Linked DNA regions of Caenorhabditis elegans. The protein of the gene in region 1 interacts with the protein of each later gene in a pairwise test. Each region holds a gene or a part of one and is shown in the gene's direction. Other genes may lie near its edges.

Region 1 (6,076 bases):
TTTCCTCTCCATACTCTCGCGTTTTGTTCCTTATTTAACATTTTTTTGTTTTTGAATTACCTTTGCAAAAAAAGATTGAATGGACGAGAAAAAATAAATATTCGAAGAGAAAAGTTGTGGGCGGCAGAAACCTTTTGAACTCTTCTCTTCTCATCAACACACAAAAGAATTCAAAGAATCAGTAATTAACCACCTCGTGAGTTTCCAAGTGTTTGGAGTGTGGTGATTTCTGGAGAAAATTGAGAATATTCTGTAGTTTTCCCACGAAGGGTGAAAACAAAAAATATTACGGGAACACTAAATTCTGAGAATGCGTATTGCGCATCACATTTGACGCTCAACGAAAAATTGGAGGAAGTTTAAATATCGCTGTCACAATTCGAAAATAAATTTGTTTCGAACTTTCCGCCCGTAAATCGACATTTAAAAAAATTACTGTAGTTTTCGCTACAAGACATTTTGCGCGTAAGATATGTTGCTCAATACGCATTCTCAGAATTTAGTGTGCCCGTAATAGAATGTTTAATCCTGTTTAAACGTTTCATAATTTGGGGAGCATCTTCAACAATTTGGCTTCCCCGATTCGGCTGCGCCCACTCATTGCTCCTCGCAAAAAAAAAACGAATCAAGAATTAAAATCCTGGGAACCCCATTTGATTGATGATCAGAGATATAAGAAGCTTATAAATAATTTAATGCGAGTGCAAGAATTCAGACGATTTTTGAATCTTAATGTGTCGCCCTTCTCTTTTCAGATACGTCATGACGTGATTTATCTGAAACGGAATCTTGAGTCTGAAATGGAAAACACTGAGATTTTTAAGGACGGTTTTAAAAAATAAACTTCGAAATTGCTGTGGAAAGAATTATTTTTCAACAAATTGGCACATTTTTTCCAAATTCAGAACTGCTCCGAATTCATTGCTCGCTTGGATTGAACACCAAGGATGCCCTTTTTCTGTTATTTGAATTTTTTGGCAAATACTGTTTTACTACTTGATCTTGTACTACAATTGGCTCTTTTACTACGTTTTATCTTTTACTAATGATTTTTTACTACGACTTGAAAATTAATTTTTATAGTATTATAATTCTAGAAGTAAACAAATGTAGAATATTCTAGTGAACTTCACATGTTTTCTTTGTACTGTTGGGCTACTGGCACTGTGGTATATCATGTTTTTTTTTTCTAGAAATTTATTCACTATGAAATCAGCAGAACTTATTGTGTACATTTGGCTCTTAAAAATTGATAGAGATAGAGTACACAAAGTTGACATTGACACTGACCAATTTTTAAAAATAGACAAAAACTACAAAACCAGAACCAAAACCAAGTTAATCTGGGGGAAATACAAAACCAAACTACGAAGACACTTTTTCACAAAAAGAATATAAAGTTCTATTAAAAATTAGCAAAACGAATCTTATATTGGCACCTCAACTTTTACAGATGATAATTAATTTCCTTGTTTGTAACTTATTCGTATGTTTTTTATTAATCTTCCTATGTATTATGTGTTTATTTTTATGTCTTTAAATGATTTTTATTATATCTCACTACAATCATATCCGACCTGTGCTTTGATGCGGCCACATCAGGAACTTTGAGGATTTTCATCCTTTCGGAACCCATTACAGTCTCAACTCCCCGCACTGAAGGAAGGCCCATAGCACACGGTGGCGGCGGACAAAACGCGAGCTAGCGAGTGCCACCGCAATATTACAAGAGTACCACTCTCGCTGCCTTGTGTGAGAGACGCAGACATAGGTATTAAAGGCGCATAGATTTATCTGCGTGGCTGGTCTCACTGCGCACCCTCCCCCTCCGCCGCCAGTTTGAATTCTAACCGTTCTCACATGTTTGCTTTGACTTGTTTTTGTTGATTTTTCTTCGAAATTTGTTATTTTTTCACGGTTTTTTGGAATAAAACCGTTTTTGTAAATCAATATAACAAAACTTGTTTTATTTAATTCAATTCATTTCAGAAAATGTCGTCGCGTAAACGAGGAATAACTCCATCGCGAGACCAAGTCCGCCGGAAGAAGTTATCGATTGAAGAAACCGACAGTATCGAAGTCGTTTGTCGTCTTTGTCCATATACTGGCTCGACTCCAAGTCTTATTGCAATTGATGAGGGATCTATTCAAACTGTTCTTCCACCAGCACAGTTCAGACGCGAAAACGCTCCACAAGTTGAGAAAGTGTTTAGATTTGGACGAGTTTTTTCGGAAAATGATGGACAAGCTACTGTTTTTGAGCGGACATCTGTTGATTTAATTTTAAACCTATTGAAAGGTCAGAATTCGTTGTTATTCACTTATGGAGTTACTGGATCTGGAAAAACGTATACAATGACGGGAAAACCCACTGAAACCGGCACAGGACTACTGCCGCGTACATTGGATGTAATTTTCAATAGTATTAATAATCGGTAAGCTTTTGAAACGAAAAAAGCAAATAATATTATTTTCTTCCAGAGTTGAGAAATGCATCTTCTATCCATCAGCACTGAATACATTCGAGATCCGTGCCACATTGGATGCTCACTTGAAACGCCATCAAATGGCTGCAGACCGTCTTTCCACATCACGCGAAATCACTGATCGTTACTGTGAAGCTATAAAGCTGTCAGGCTACAACGACGATATGGTTTGCTCGGTTTTCGTAACCTACGTCGAAATCTACAACAATTATTGCTACGATTTGTTGGAAGACGCCAGAAATGGGTAAGAAAAATCGAGCAATAATTGATAGTGACCCTCCGCTAGTTCCAGAGTATTGACGAAGCGTGAAATTCGTCATGATCGTCAGCAACAGATGTACGTCGACGGAGCCAAAGATGTTGAAGTCTCGTCAAGCGAGGAAGCTCTCGAAGTGTTCTGCCTTGGAGAAGAACGTCGTCGTGTATCGTCCACTCTTCTCAACAAAGATTCATCCCGTTCTCATTCCGTATTCACTATCAAATTGGTTATGGCTCCGAGAGCCTACGAGACGAAAAGCGTGTATCCAACAATGGACTCATCGCAAATTATCGTTTCGCAGTTATGTTTGGTAGATTTGGCTGGATCTGAGAGGTTTGTTTTTTTGTTGTAAACTGAAATATATATGTTTAATGAGAAAAATTTTAGAGCAAAGCGCACACAGAATGTTGGTGAACGTCTTGCGGAAGCCAACTCGATCAATCAGTCCCTCATGACTCTTCGTCAGTGTATTGAAGTACTCCGTCGTAACCAAAAGAGTTCCTCACAAAACCTTGAGCAAGTTCCATATCGCCAGTCAAAATTGACTCATTTATTCAAAAACTATCTGGAAGGAAATGGAAAAATCAGAATGGTTATTTGTGTGAATCCAAAGCCTGATGATTACGATGAAAACATGGTTCGTTCAGAATTCAAAGAATTTACTAATTATTTAAATTCGTAACTTTCAGAGTGCTCTAGCTTTCGCTGAAGAATCACAAACAATTGAAGTGAAAAAGCAAGTTGAACGAATGCCATCCGAGCGGATTCCTCATTCATTCTTCACCCAATGGAATTCTGAGCTAGATGGATCTGTTCGTATGGAGGATGATGGAAGTAGAGAAATTCCGTGCCCACCGACATTCTGTTTGACAGTAAGAATTTCACAAATTGAATGGTTTTGAACAAATTGTTTCCAGGATTGCAATGACAAAGATACGGTAGATTCCATGTATAAGTATGCTCGGAAACTTTCATCTCTTCAAAATTCATCAGAAGAGGGACCATCTTCAACTCTTCTTACTATGATTCGCCAATACATGATGGAAGCAGACTACCAGCGAGTAGAGATTGCACGTCTCAAAGATTCTCTAAACGACAAGGATGAAGAAATCAAGAAGCTTCGAGGTTTCTGCTCAAGATATAAGCGTGAGAACGCTTCGATGAAGGAACGAATTGCCTCGTGTGAGCAAGGAGAGCAAGAGAATGCTCTGGTTATGGAAAAGCTTATGGAACAAAAAATGGAGGACAGGAAGATTATTCAGTCACAGAAGAAGGCGATGAGAAATGTTCGTGGAATTATTGATAATCCATCCCCGTCTGTTGCTTCTCTTCGATCACGATTTGATCAAGAGAATGTGGCTCATCCAACAGCTCCAATCCAAACTCCACCACCGCCATATCAAACTCCAGGACGTGCTCCAGTCTTCAAAAAACGGTTAGAAGCCACTACATCGACCACTGTAATGTCTGGATCTTCAAGTGGAGGAAGTGGTCAACAGGGTTACGTTAATCCAAAATATCAAAGAAGATCCAAGTCTGCATCTCGTCTATTGGATCATCAGCCACTTCATCGAGTTCCAACAGGAACGGTTCTTCAGTCTCGTACACCGGCTAACGCCATACGGACTACTAAACCTGAGGTAGGAAAAAACATTAATAAATTCCGCAATTTTATTGTAATTCAATTGTTTTCCAGATGCATCAGTTGAACAAATCCGGAGAATACCGTCTCACGCATCAAGAAGTTGACGATGAAGGAAACATTAGCACGAATATAGTGAAGGTAAATTCCTTGGTTTCCACCCAAAAACACGCCTGTACCGTCCCGTTGTCGTTTTCCCGTGTCCTTATCACCCATCTTTCCTGATACAAAACTGTCCGTCTTTTCTTCTCACAAAGCACACACGTAACGCATTCTAACAGGCACCATCTAAACCACCAGAACTTCAACTGGAAGACTCGCAAAGCAGTTCGTATTCACCGTGTACGGATGTAAAATCGATAACGATATACTCTAATCATGATGTTGAAGAAGAAGATGAATGAGAATTATTTGAAATGAATGTTTGCTGGGGGAATGAGAAGATGAAGCTGCTCTTTTTACATTTTTATGTGTTTGTTGTATGTTTTTGATTGTTTATTGGCTATTTTAGATACTGTTTTAGTAGTGCTTGAGAAAACTGCCTGAATTTGCTTGATATATACTTTTTGAGTTAAAATTTCATGCTTAAAATTAACTAATTTAGTGCTAGTTCTATATGCATTTAATTTCAGTTTTTCATGTAATGTTTTAGGTCATATAACTTTAAAAATACATTTATTTTTGTGTTCCACTTTCTCATCTGTTGCTCATCTCGAATTTTTCAGGGAAATGTAATTCCAACAGTTTCCGGTGGCACTGCCGTGTTCTTCAACGATATCGAGAGACTCACTCACGAATCTCCGAGCACACGAAAGTAATTATAAGTGCCGTCTTTGATCTTTTTACCTCCATCCTGCTGCATTTTCATGTCAAATTTGTACCATACTCTTCAAATTTTCTCCAAATATTTATTAATTTATTATGTTTCTCATTCATAATCCCATTTTCCGAACTCGAAGAGAACTCTTGTTTTTTTGTAGACCTCACCGCATTTTTATGATCTTTCACTTCTTCGTCTTTTTCTCCTTCTACGCACAATTTTTTGATATCGATCTGAAGAACTCTGTTCATTTTTATTCCCGACGATGATTTGTGTACTAGTAAATGCTTTTGTATTTTAATTTTAATTAAACTCAAAGAATATAAAATATGAAAATAAGTTAGCTTTTATTTTCGTTCAAAAAAATGAATCTCAATAAATAAGACCCGATTTAGGTCGAGGGTTACATAGAAAATGGTGGGAAAAAGGCACGGTTTTATACAAATAATTATGATTTAATACGCGTTTTTTGATTTTTTGGTTGGTATTTCAAAAAATAATTCAATCGAAAAATAAAAAGGGATTATCATGAAAAAGAGGTCAGAAATATTGATTATCAGAGAGATTTAATTTTTTAAAATTAAAGTTAAATTGGGAAAAGCCAGGCGAGAGACAAGATCAGAAACCACGTGGTGAGAGAAATATGAGAAAAAAAAAAGAAAATCGGTGAAAATTAATTGCCTAGAGAGTATTTTTAAGATGAGTGAATACATTTACTGCATTCATCATGAACATATTATCCGGTGTTGCTGTATTTGTCAAGAAATTGGAAACATTTGCGATGATCTGAAATATACATTCGTTGAAACAGTGGAAATTTTGAAATATTTTCCGCAAGTCTGGCATGAAATTTGCAAGCGTGCCGCACC
Region 2 (4,960 bases), 5.7 Mb from region 1:
TTCTCATTCAAAGACGCCTAGATGACCTTGAAGATGTTATGAATGTGTTGTGGAAACTTCCGAAACTTGTACATTTTCCAGGATTTGGCAACTTTTTTGTTTGAGTCACATTTTCACTGTTTTGTTCTTTCTATCCGGTCTACAAAAGTGTCAAATTGAAACAATAGACGAATGTGGCAATAAGATGATTCAGAATACGAAAATATTCTTGAAGAACGCCCAAAAAAGAAACTTTGTTTTTTTTTTTGCCAAATGTTCCTCCAAACGGCACACCCTTTCATATTTCTATCGAGAATCGTTAAATTTTCGGTTCTAAACGAACGATGCACATGAAAATGGTAATGAAAGTTCTCTTTCACTGTCTGCGTTTGTCGTTCATTTTTAGTGGGTGTGAAATAGGGAATAAGGTGATAAATTTTGAGAATTGATCATCGCAGTGCCCTTTCTCTTCTTTTTGGACTTTATATGGATACCGCAATTCCTTCTTCAATTGACTCGAGTTTTGACTAGATTTTGGTCAACATTTTAAAGTGTGTTTTTTTTTGTAATTTCGAAACTCGAAAACAGGAGTACGCAGCCATTGCCGACCGGCAATTCTACAAAATGAGACGGTCGAGCATGTTCTCCCGATATTTTTCATTGAAATTTAATTATACATAGAAAAATATTTGCTTTATTTGAAACAACCGAGAAAGTGTTCAAAAATTGTCCGAAAGTTGAAAATTTACGTTATTTTTCCGCAATTTATAAAGCAAATGTTTTTCTATGTATCATCAAATTTCAATGAAAAAAAGGGAAACAAGTTCACCACCTCATTTTGTAGAATTTCCGTGCACCCCAGCTCGAGACTTTATATTCTGGTAGAATGGGCATTTCTCACCAAGTTTTCTTTTAAGTACAACGTTGCCGTTTTTTGTCGTTACCGTATTTCTATTTCTATCCAAAAGATTTTCAAATTAATTTCCCATGTCTTTGGTCTTTTCAATTGGCTACAGTACCCCCCCCCCCCCCTAAAACAATTCTTCCATTTGTACCAGAAGCCGTCCATCCGTGTCTATATTCGTTTGTTCTCTTTGTATTATGTGTCTTTTTCCTACACAAAAAAAATGAAATATGAATCACCATGCACGCGTTTTCTTCAATTCTCTTAGCTTTTCGTTTGAACAAAAACTCTGCTTTCGATTTTATTAAACTTGAAGATTGAAACAAAAAAACTTCAGTTTTTAGTTTTCCAGGATGTTTAGTTTGTTATCTCGTTGATTTCTCATCGTAAATATGGAGCAACTAAATTTTTTATACCATCTCAAAATTCCAACTATTGCCAACTTTACGTGCCACAGCGGCCGGAAATCAGGTTTTTGTTAATTATCACTATTTTGCGCATTTTAGATGTTTATTGTGGGGTTTTCATTAATTATTTTACATTTCAAGTCGTTAGGTGCAGTTTAGACAAAAAAAACCAATTTATGTGCTTATTTACTGAAAATGTACCATAATCAATTAAAGGCAGAGTACCGAAATCTGAAACAATATTTTTTAGACCAAAAATGACCCAAAACTACCGAATTTCGTAATGAGACGTTTTGAAAATTTCTCAAAAAAGTTATGGCGGTTCAAAGTTGTGGAAAAATTACCATTTTTAAGCTAAAATCTCAAATTTTGGCAATTTTCGCAGAGGTTACTTAAATTTTATTTAAAAGAAAAAAGTTTTCATTGGAACTTAATTTTTATTCAATTATCACCTTTTAATGCATGTATTCGCAGTTTATTACGTGTTAAAAATCATTAGAAATGTCGATAGAAAAGAATCGACATTTCTAATGATTTTACCTTTTGGCCGTACGATTTAAATCATGTATTATTCTCTCATTCTCACGCTTCTTTATCAATACCTTGATTTTTGCAGAAGCGAATAATATAGGACTGCTAGAAAACTTGCAATAATCAACGTCTAAAATGGCGCAACCAAAACGCCTTGACCAGGAAGAAGAGGTATTTATTTTCAGAAGACTATACAACTTTCTAACATAAATATTTTCAGGTCGTTCCGGCGATCCGTCACGATGACGCCGAATGGAAGATCATCCAACAGAATACATTCACCAGATGGGTCAAAAATCATTTGCAAAAGGCTGGAGAAACTATTGAGAGTCTGGTGAGTTTTGGATTACTTTATTCAGTGATTTTATATTTATAATTTCAGGAAACTGATTTCTCGGATGGTCTCAAGCTTATTGCATTGGCTCAAGTTCTCTCCCACAAGAATGTTGGAAAATTCAACAAGAAAGTGGCATTTCGTTCACAGAAGCTCGAAAATGTGTCTCTTGCGTTGAATTTCTTCCAGAATGAAGAGAATATTAAGATTATCAATATTGGTAAGCAGTCCTTCACTGAAATCCTGAAAAATAGTATCGTAGAAACGATATATTTTCCTTTTTCGAGACTGCTCCGCGCGGTGAAGCAGTTCAAAAGGACGAATCCGTAGTTCAAACATGTTTTTGTTTGTTTTCAGTGTATGGGAGCTCTCGCCCGAGCACACGGAGTTCCCCTTTCCTCTATTATTACGAACAACATAGGTTGACCACCGTTTTTCGCAACAAAAATACCCATTTTCGGGACTTTAAGCCAATATTTCGACGTGTCAATTAGTGTCGTTTTTAGAGAAAGAATTTCGGAAAAACGGCCACTTTAAAAAACATTCAAAACACTGAATATTTCAATTTTAATTTACAAGTTAATGTTCATTTCGATACTATCTCTTAAAGAAAATCTGAGAAATATTTTCAATTGACTCCAAATTTTTCCCAGATTCTGAATTTCTATGTGAAAAAATTCAAAAAAATTTCCCTGATTTTATATCCAATAAGGATTAAAAATATCTCGTAAATATACAAAATTGTCGTAAATCGACACATGGCGTCTCTGGTGCGAAAATTCGTCGTTTGAAAAATCAGGGAATGTTTTGTGAATTTTCTCATTTTGATTTCAGAATCAGGAGAGAGAACGACAAAAAAAAAAAATCACAAGGGTTACTGTATTTTTTTGCGTTTTAATTCTTTACCACACGAGCTTTACCGAAAATGTCTCGAACTTTTGACAAAGTCTGATTAAAACCTGACTTCTCAATGTTTTGGCTCAATACAGAATCATTCAAACATTTTAATAGTTATATATTCGGTCACCACAACCCATTTTCTATTTAATTGCATTATTTTAAATTACAGACAGTACTCATATTGTGGATCATAACAAGAAATTGATTCTGGGACTCGTTTGGACATTGATTCTCCATTATTCAATTTCGATGGGATGGATTCAAGAAAAAAGAGAAGATGGAGATAATAAGGAGGAGACTCCGAAGCAAAAGCTCCTCAATTGGATTCGTAATCGTCTTCCAGGTACCATTTCGAATTGCAACATTTACTCATCACCCTAAAGTTTCAGGAATGCCGATTTCCAACTTCACTTCCGACTGGAACGACGGAGTTGCTCTCGGTGCACTTGTCAATTCGATGGCTCCAGGAGCACTTGAAGACTGGGAAAATTGGTCGCCAAATGATGCTCTGGAGAACACTGAGAAAGCCATGAAGTCTGCTCAAGATTTGCTTAAAGTTGCTCCACTCATTGCTCCAGCTGAGATGATTCATCCGGAAATTGATGAAATGTCTGTAATGACATATCTTTCACAGTTCCCTGCAACAAAACCAATAATAATGAAGCCAAAGGTTCAAGCGACTATTTCAAATTTGGACAAAATTCTCCAAGTCAATGATCCTAGAGAGTTTGATTTGAAGCTTTCTCGTGATGGATTTAAGCCGAAAGTCTCGATCCGAGATGAAGATGGACAGGATATTCATTTGAGTCTTAAAAAGGTTGAGGATAAAGAAAACGCCTACAAAGTCAAGTTCACTCCTACAAAGATTGGATTTATCCACGTGGATGTAGCCGCGAACGATGTTCACACGTTTGAGACTCAGACCATTCCTGAGGCTAGCGTCATTTGTCAGGTAGAGAAAAAATTTATATATAATCTGAATTTGTTCTTCAGGTTGTTCCAATCGCCCGCCTTCTCGATTATAACAAAACCGCCAAAGTCGGAGATGACGTCAAATTCGCCGTGGTCGACGCCATTGAAGGTCCTGTTGAAGCAATTGTTGTTGATCCAACTGGAAAAGAGCACCGAATGGTTATCTTGGATGGTACATCACCAGGAGAACATTCATTCGAATACAAAATTCCGTGTATTGGACTACATTCAGTCAATGTTTTCCACAAGAAGCTCCCATTGACCGGATCGCCATTCCCACTGCGTGGAAAACCAAAGAGTGCGTATATTTATAAATATAAGAATCGAGTTTCTGGATGCACCACGAATTCAAGATCTGGTGGAATTAGGGATCTGGCACAAAACACAATTTTTCTCAAAGAAAAACGTGACAACTGCTCCATGTTGCGTGTTGTTAAGCATATTTTCTTGAAGAGAACTTTTGAAGAAAACTGTTTTTTCTTCGAGAAAAATTGCGTTTTATGCGTTGGCACGGTGACAGATCCGGAATTCCACTAAATCTTGAATCCATGATGTCTCTGTTTCTGTATTTCAAAAAAGTAATGAAATTGTTTTTCAGATTCGTTCAAAGTGTGGGGACGTGGAATTGCTCCAGAAGGAATTCGCAAAAATGATGTCGTTGGTGTCCACGTTGAATCGTTGGATCCGGAAGAAAATATCGCCAACGCAAACATTTCTTTGGAAGTGTTGAAACCGTCGGATGGTTCTCATCTACCAGTTTCAGTTGGCTACAATGACGAATCTCAGTCAATGGATTTCGAATATTCGCCAAAGCAAGCACCTGATGATCTAGAAGTACTCGTTAAGGTTGCTGGTGAAGTCATCGAATCTCATAAGATCCATGTGGCACCGGAAAGCTCTTCGAAGATCAGAGCATTCGGAGCAGGACTTGAA
Region 3 (4,652 bases), on another chromosome or scaffold:
TAGGAGAGACGAAAAGATAATTTAATGTATTTTCTGTTGATACTTTTAACTATTAATTTTGTTTATTAAATGTGATAACTTCCACTATTCCATAAGATGGATTCAGTTACATTTTTATTGCATTCAATTGTTGTTTATATTGGTGCGCAAGTCCAATCGAATGCGTTGTCCGTCTATCCTCAAGAGAACCGGTCTTTCCGTTTCCTCGACTTTTATCGATTTTTGCATTGAACTGCGTGTTCGGTTTGATTTAAAAAAGGTTCTGTATTTTTTAATTTATATTTTAAATTTGAATTTTCAAAAAACTTTCCAGCTACATTTCGAGTTCTCGTCTTCTTCAAAATGTCCAATCTTTTTGACAAATAAACTCATGTGCCTGGACCGCACTCAAACAAACGTACATGCAATCTGAATGTTACATCTTTTCTTTATTTATCTCAAAAAATTTGTATTTACCCAAATACTCATTTAAATAGCCACAACATTTTTAGTCATGTTGGTACCCTTGAAAAGGTTGCTCTAAACTTTAAATTGTCAATTTGAAGCTCTATTTGAGATGGGGTGGGCTCTGGGAATCTTGTTATCTGCTCACTGGGTTTTTGTCGGTTTTCTTTCATTCTAAAGCAATTCTGGATATTTTTGAAATTTTGATTTCTGAAAACTTTCCACTTTCCACTTTCCACTAACTACTATCTTTTTTCTTCGTTTTATTTCAAAAAGAAAGAAATAAAGCGAAAAATTATGTTAACCTGTCGCTAAATATCGGAAAATCTCATATTGGCTGGGTACCGCCACGCGATGTATAATTAAAATAAAATTTTAGTGTGTGCGCCTTTAAATGTTACTGTAGAATTTTAACAATGTTTTTTTAACTATAAAAACAATTAATTTTGAGTTAAATAACAAAATAATGGAACATTTTAAAAAAATTAGAAGACACAATAATTTTCTTTCCGCAAATAAAATCGAAGAAAACAAGCCTAGAAATTGTACAGTAACAGGCGCAGACACCAAAACTTTATTTCCAGCGCGCGCGGCGAGACCCATCCGCAGACATGCACCTCCCTTGAAACATGTTTGAATTTTTATTTTTGTTTTGTTTCATTTAAATGCATTTTTGAACATTTTCAGCGATTTTTAAAGATTTTTTCGTCGTAAATTCCGTAATAAATTTTTCAGAAACATGCTCAACCTTTGCCTACATTTTTTCGCATAAAATTTACCATTTTTGAAGAGAATCGCAATTTTAAATGGCATTTGCAACATAAACTATCTGCTCCGCAAGCCTCTTATCATTTTCCCTCGCTTTCTGTAAATAATTGTGTCAAAGCTCTCGTTCTCTCATTCTCTTTCGAAAACGTTCTCTGTCATTTGCTTGCTCGATGTTTTATTTTTCGGCAAAAAAAACCTAGCGCGCAAGGAAAACCCGAGGTCAAAACCAAAAATATTATTCAACACCAAATAGGTATATGATGCGGAAGTCTAATAATTGTTTGGACAACGTCCTTTTCTATTTGCTCACCGAAACGTAACACTGAGCTTCGCGCGCGCGCTTCGTCCACCGCTCTCCACTTATAGTACGAATCTTTATTTCATTTATTGAAATGTTGTCGTTCGTCAAACGTTCTAAACAACCCGCATATTTCAGAATGCCCGGCGAATTTGCAAAGTTTCCGGAGCAATCAGGTATTTTACGAAATAATAATAATTTTTTTTAAAACTATGTTTTTAATTTCAGCTGGATCTCATCAATTTCGTAACCCACTCGATGAACTTACGGGATCAAATACAATAACAAATTTAACTGCACACGATTTTGATTATTTTACACAGTCCGAGAAAAATTCAAATTTATATACAAGTGAAAATACAAGCAATTCTAACAGATTAAATCTCGTAAGTAACATTATTCTTGCTAAATCGATTTTTAAAAATTCGTTTTTTTTTTCAGAATCAAAATATACCGGTCGGCACATTAATAGATGGATTTGAGCTTATTAATGAAGCTTCTGGCTCCGGCTTTTTAGATGATCAATTAGTGGATGTTAGCGATTATAGCCGAGATAGGACGACGAAGCTGGATAGGAATAGGAATTCTCCCGAGCTAATAGTTGCTCTTTTGCAACGAAAAGTTCAAGGAATTCGATTTTCATCGAATTATGGAAGAGAGGAAGAACCATGTGTTATTGAGGTGATTGAAGTGGATTTAAATGAGGAAAATGAGCCAAAAAGACCGAATAGCGATAGTTTTCGGGGAAAAAAACAGAATTTCATCTAAAATCGCCAATTCTCCGTGTCGTAGCTGCCGAAATTTGATTTTTATTTATTTTTTGTCATCTTTAAGTTTTTTAAACGCTTTTTTTGTTGATTTAGGTAATTTTTGAGCCGATAATCGATTGATCAACGGAGAAACAACCAAAATATGAGAAAAAAATCCGGCCGACACTCAAAAGCGTGCATAATTTGATGTTTTAGCTGAAATCATGTTTTTGTAAAGCATTTTGGAGAAGTTTCGTTATGAAATTTGGTCTTTTGCTTATTTTTTCCACAATTAAACATTTTTAATTTTATTTTCTATTTTCAGATCCCACCAGGAACAATGGTTCGCGAAATGGCAGATGATGATTGGAAAATGTCTGAATTAAAAGAATGGTTCACAAAATCAAGAGCTTCTTCGCATTTACGTGATGGATTAGCAATGCCCATGGAGGTATCGTAATTACCCTGATTTTTGCGGCTAAAACTACGGTAGCGGGTCTCGACGCGACAAATTTAAAAGAACTGTAATTCAAAATTTTCGTTCCCGGCGAATTTTCATTGAATTTGTATAGTTTTTCTCCAGAATTCTTGTTTTTTTTTTTGAAAAAACGATTAAAAAATCGATAAAAATTCCAAAAATTTGTCGTTTCGAGATCGGCTACCGTATTTTTGGCACAAAATTTTTCGTCAAATTAATGCCTTTTCAGTTTCTCAATTTTTTTAAATTTCAGGAACTCGACTGCACTCCTCTGATTTGTGCAATGATTACCAGATCCGATGTAATGAGAATAAACCAAGATCAAGCAATGTATATTTATTATCTTTATAAATAAAATTTTTTCCCTTTTCAGACATCTTCTGGCTGTCAGTGTAGAGAAACGAATAGAAGTTTATCAAAATTTCGAATGGTTCAATTTCATTCTGAATCTGAAAATTGGCGATTCTGTTTCTGTGGAAGTGGTAAGTATTTGAAATTATATGTTTCTCAAAGGAATCTAGTTTTTAACCAAAAAAAAAGAAAAATAAAACAACGAATTCAAAATAAAGAGACGCAGACGAGAAATGGGCGTCTCCTTGTATTCAGAATTAGACTGTCACACGTGACTGATTGAAATTCCGATGGCATGACTAACTTATAAGTTTCTTGAAAATAATATAATGGGATAGGAATTAATGGCCCACGAGTCACATTTTTTGCTAGGCCTCTGTAAATTCCGCTCTGACAAAGTCAATTTTCCGGCTTTAATTAAAAAAAAAAACGAATTTTTTTGAAAATCGAAAAAAAATTGGAGTCTCTTGCTCGAATAATGAAATTTTTTTGTTTTTTCGAATGAAATAGTGATTGTGCCTCATCTTAAATAGTTTACTAGTGTCCAAAAAATCGAGAAATTTTCGTTTTTATTTTTTATTCTCAAACTCTCGATTTATATTTATCTCTTCTGGTCCGGGAAAAAATTAAATCCGGGAAAATTTCAAATGTACAAAAAAAATACATCCACATAGATTATGATACTTCTGATAAAGGGTGTCGTTTTTCGGTTTTTCCAAAATAGAAAAATTGGAAATCGAAAAACAAAAATTCTCGATTTTTCGAATTTTTAAAAATTTCGGAAAATCGAAAAATCAAAAAGACAATTTTTTTTCAGAAAATTAACCATAAAATATGATTTTTAAAGTTTAATTTCGTTTACATTGTTGAGAAAAAAACAAAACAATTTATTCTAAAATGAAGAACAATGAACAAAATTTTAAAGCTAATTTTAGAAAAATCGAAAAATGAAATAGAGAACCGGTTCACGATATCATTGACACTGACCGAAATATGTTTTATTGAACAACATCGAGAGGGATTAAGCATACAGTCGGCAGAAAATTGAGAAATTCTTTCAGTTTTAATTTTAATTTGAATCAGAAGCAAGGGCGTCGGGTTTTCAATTTTTGAAAAAACTAAAAATCGAAAAATCGAAAACTTTTTAGAAAAATCGAAAAATGAAAAGTTTTCGATTTTTCGATTTTTAGTTTTTTCAAAAATTGAAAACCCGACGCCCTTGCTTCTGATTCAAATTAAAATTAAAACTGAAAGAATTTCTCAATTTTCTGCCGACTGTATGCTTAATCCCTCTCGATGTTGTTCAATAAAACATATTTCGGTCAGTGTCAATGATATCGTGAACCGGTTCTCTATTTAGTTCTTTCTCTCTCTCTTTTCAACACAAAAAACATAGAGTTCCTCTTTCTCTGTGTGAAAGTATAAGTTATCCTCTTCTCTCTCTCTCTCTCTCTCTCTCTAACAAACTATTTGCCTGTTTAGTTGTTTCTTTCTTTCCTCTTCATCGTCTCAACCAACTTGTTTCTCATTTCATTGGCGACGCCCTTCCTTCTCCCAATTTGTT

Evidence for each region. The genes of interacting proteins can lie anywhere in the genome.
Region 2: the proteins of zen-4 (region 1) and fln-1 interact in a two-hybrid assay, tested with the Caenorhabditis elegans proteins (one large-scale study listed by BioGRID).
Region 3: the proteins of zen-4 (region 1) and cyld-1 interact in a two-hybrid assay, tested with the Caenorhabditis elegans proteins (one large-scale study listed by BioGRID).

What each region holds. Positions count from the first base shown.
Region 1 is NC_003282.8:6,116,232-6,122,307, forward strand, and holds zen-4 (Kinesin-like protein), read left to right. Parts: upstream 1-1,983; 5' UTR 1,984-1,992; coding exon 1,993-2,435; intron 2,436-2,481; coding exon 2,482-2,730; intron 2,731-2,772; coding exon 2,773-3,078; intron 3,079-3,132; coding exon 3,133-3,382; intron 3,383-3,434; coding exon 3,435-3,617; intron 3,618-3,662; coding exon 3,663-4,385; intron 4,386-4,441; coding exon 4,442-4,528; coding exon of another isoform or gene 4,529-4,612; exon of another isoform or gene 4,613-4,668; coding exon 4,669-4,791; 3' UTR 4,792-4,866; exon of another isoform or gene 4,867-5,112; coding exon of another isoform or gene 5,113-5,205; 3' UTR 5,206-5,546; downstream 5,547-6,076. Other genes in the region: M03D4.4 (C2H2-type domain-containing protein), read right to left, coding at 5,889-5,993.
Region 2 is NC_003282.8:373,009-377,968, reverse strand, and holds the start of fln-1 (Calponin-homology (CH) domain-containing protein), read left to right. Parts: upstream 1-1,956; coding exon 1,957-1,992; intron 1,993-2,041; coding exon 2,042-2,155; intron 2,156-2,203; coding exon 2,204-2,375; intron 2,376-3,224; coding exon 3,225-3,398; intron 3,399-3,438; coding exon 3,439-4,007; intron 4,008-4,048; coding exon 4,049-4,325; intron 4,326-4,365; exon of another isoform or gene 4,366-4,448; intron 4,449-4,625; coding exon 4,626-4,960.
Region 3 is NC_003281.10:9,907,655-9,912,306, reverse strand, and holds the start of cyld-1 (ubiquitinyl hydrolase 1), read left to right. Parts: upstream 1-1,648; 5' UTR 1,649-1,649; coding exon 1,650-1,686; intron 1,687-1,738; coding exon 1,739-1,896; intron 1,897-1,951; coding exon 1,952-2,191; intron 2,192-2,584; coding exon 2,585-2,710; intron 2,711-2,990; coding exon 2,991-3,067; intron 3,068-3,110; coding exon 3,111-3,219; intron 3,220-4,652.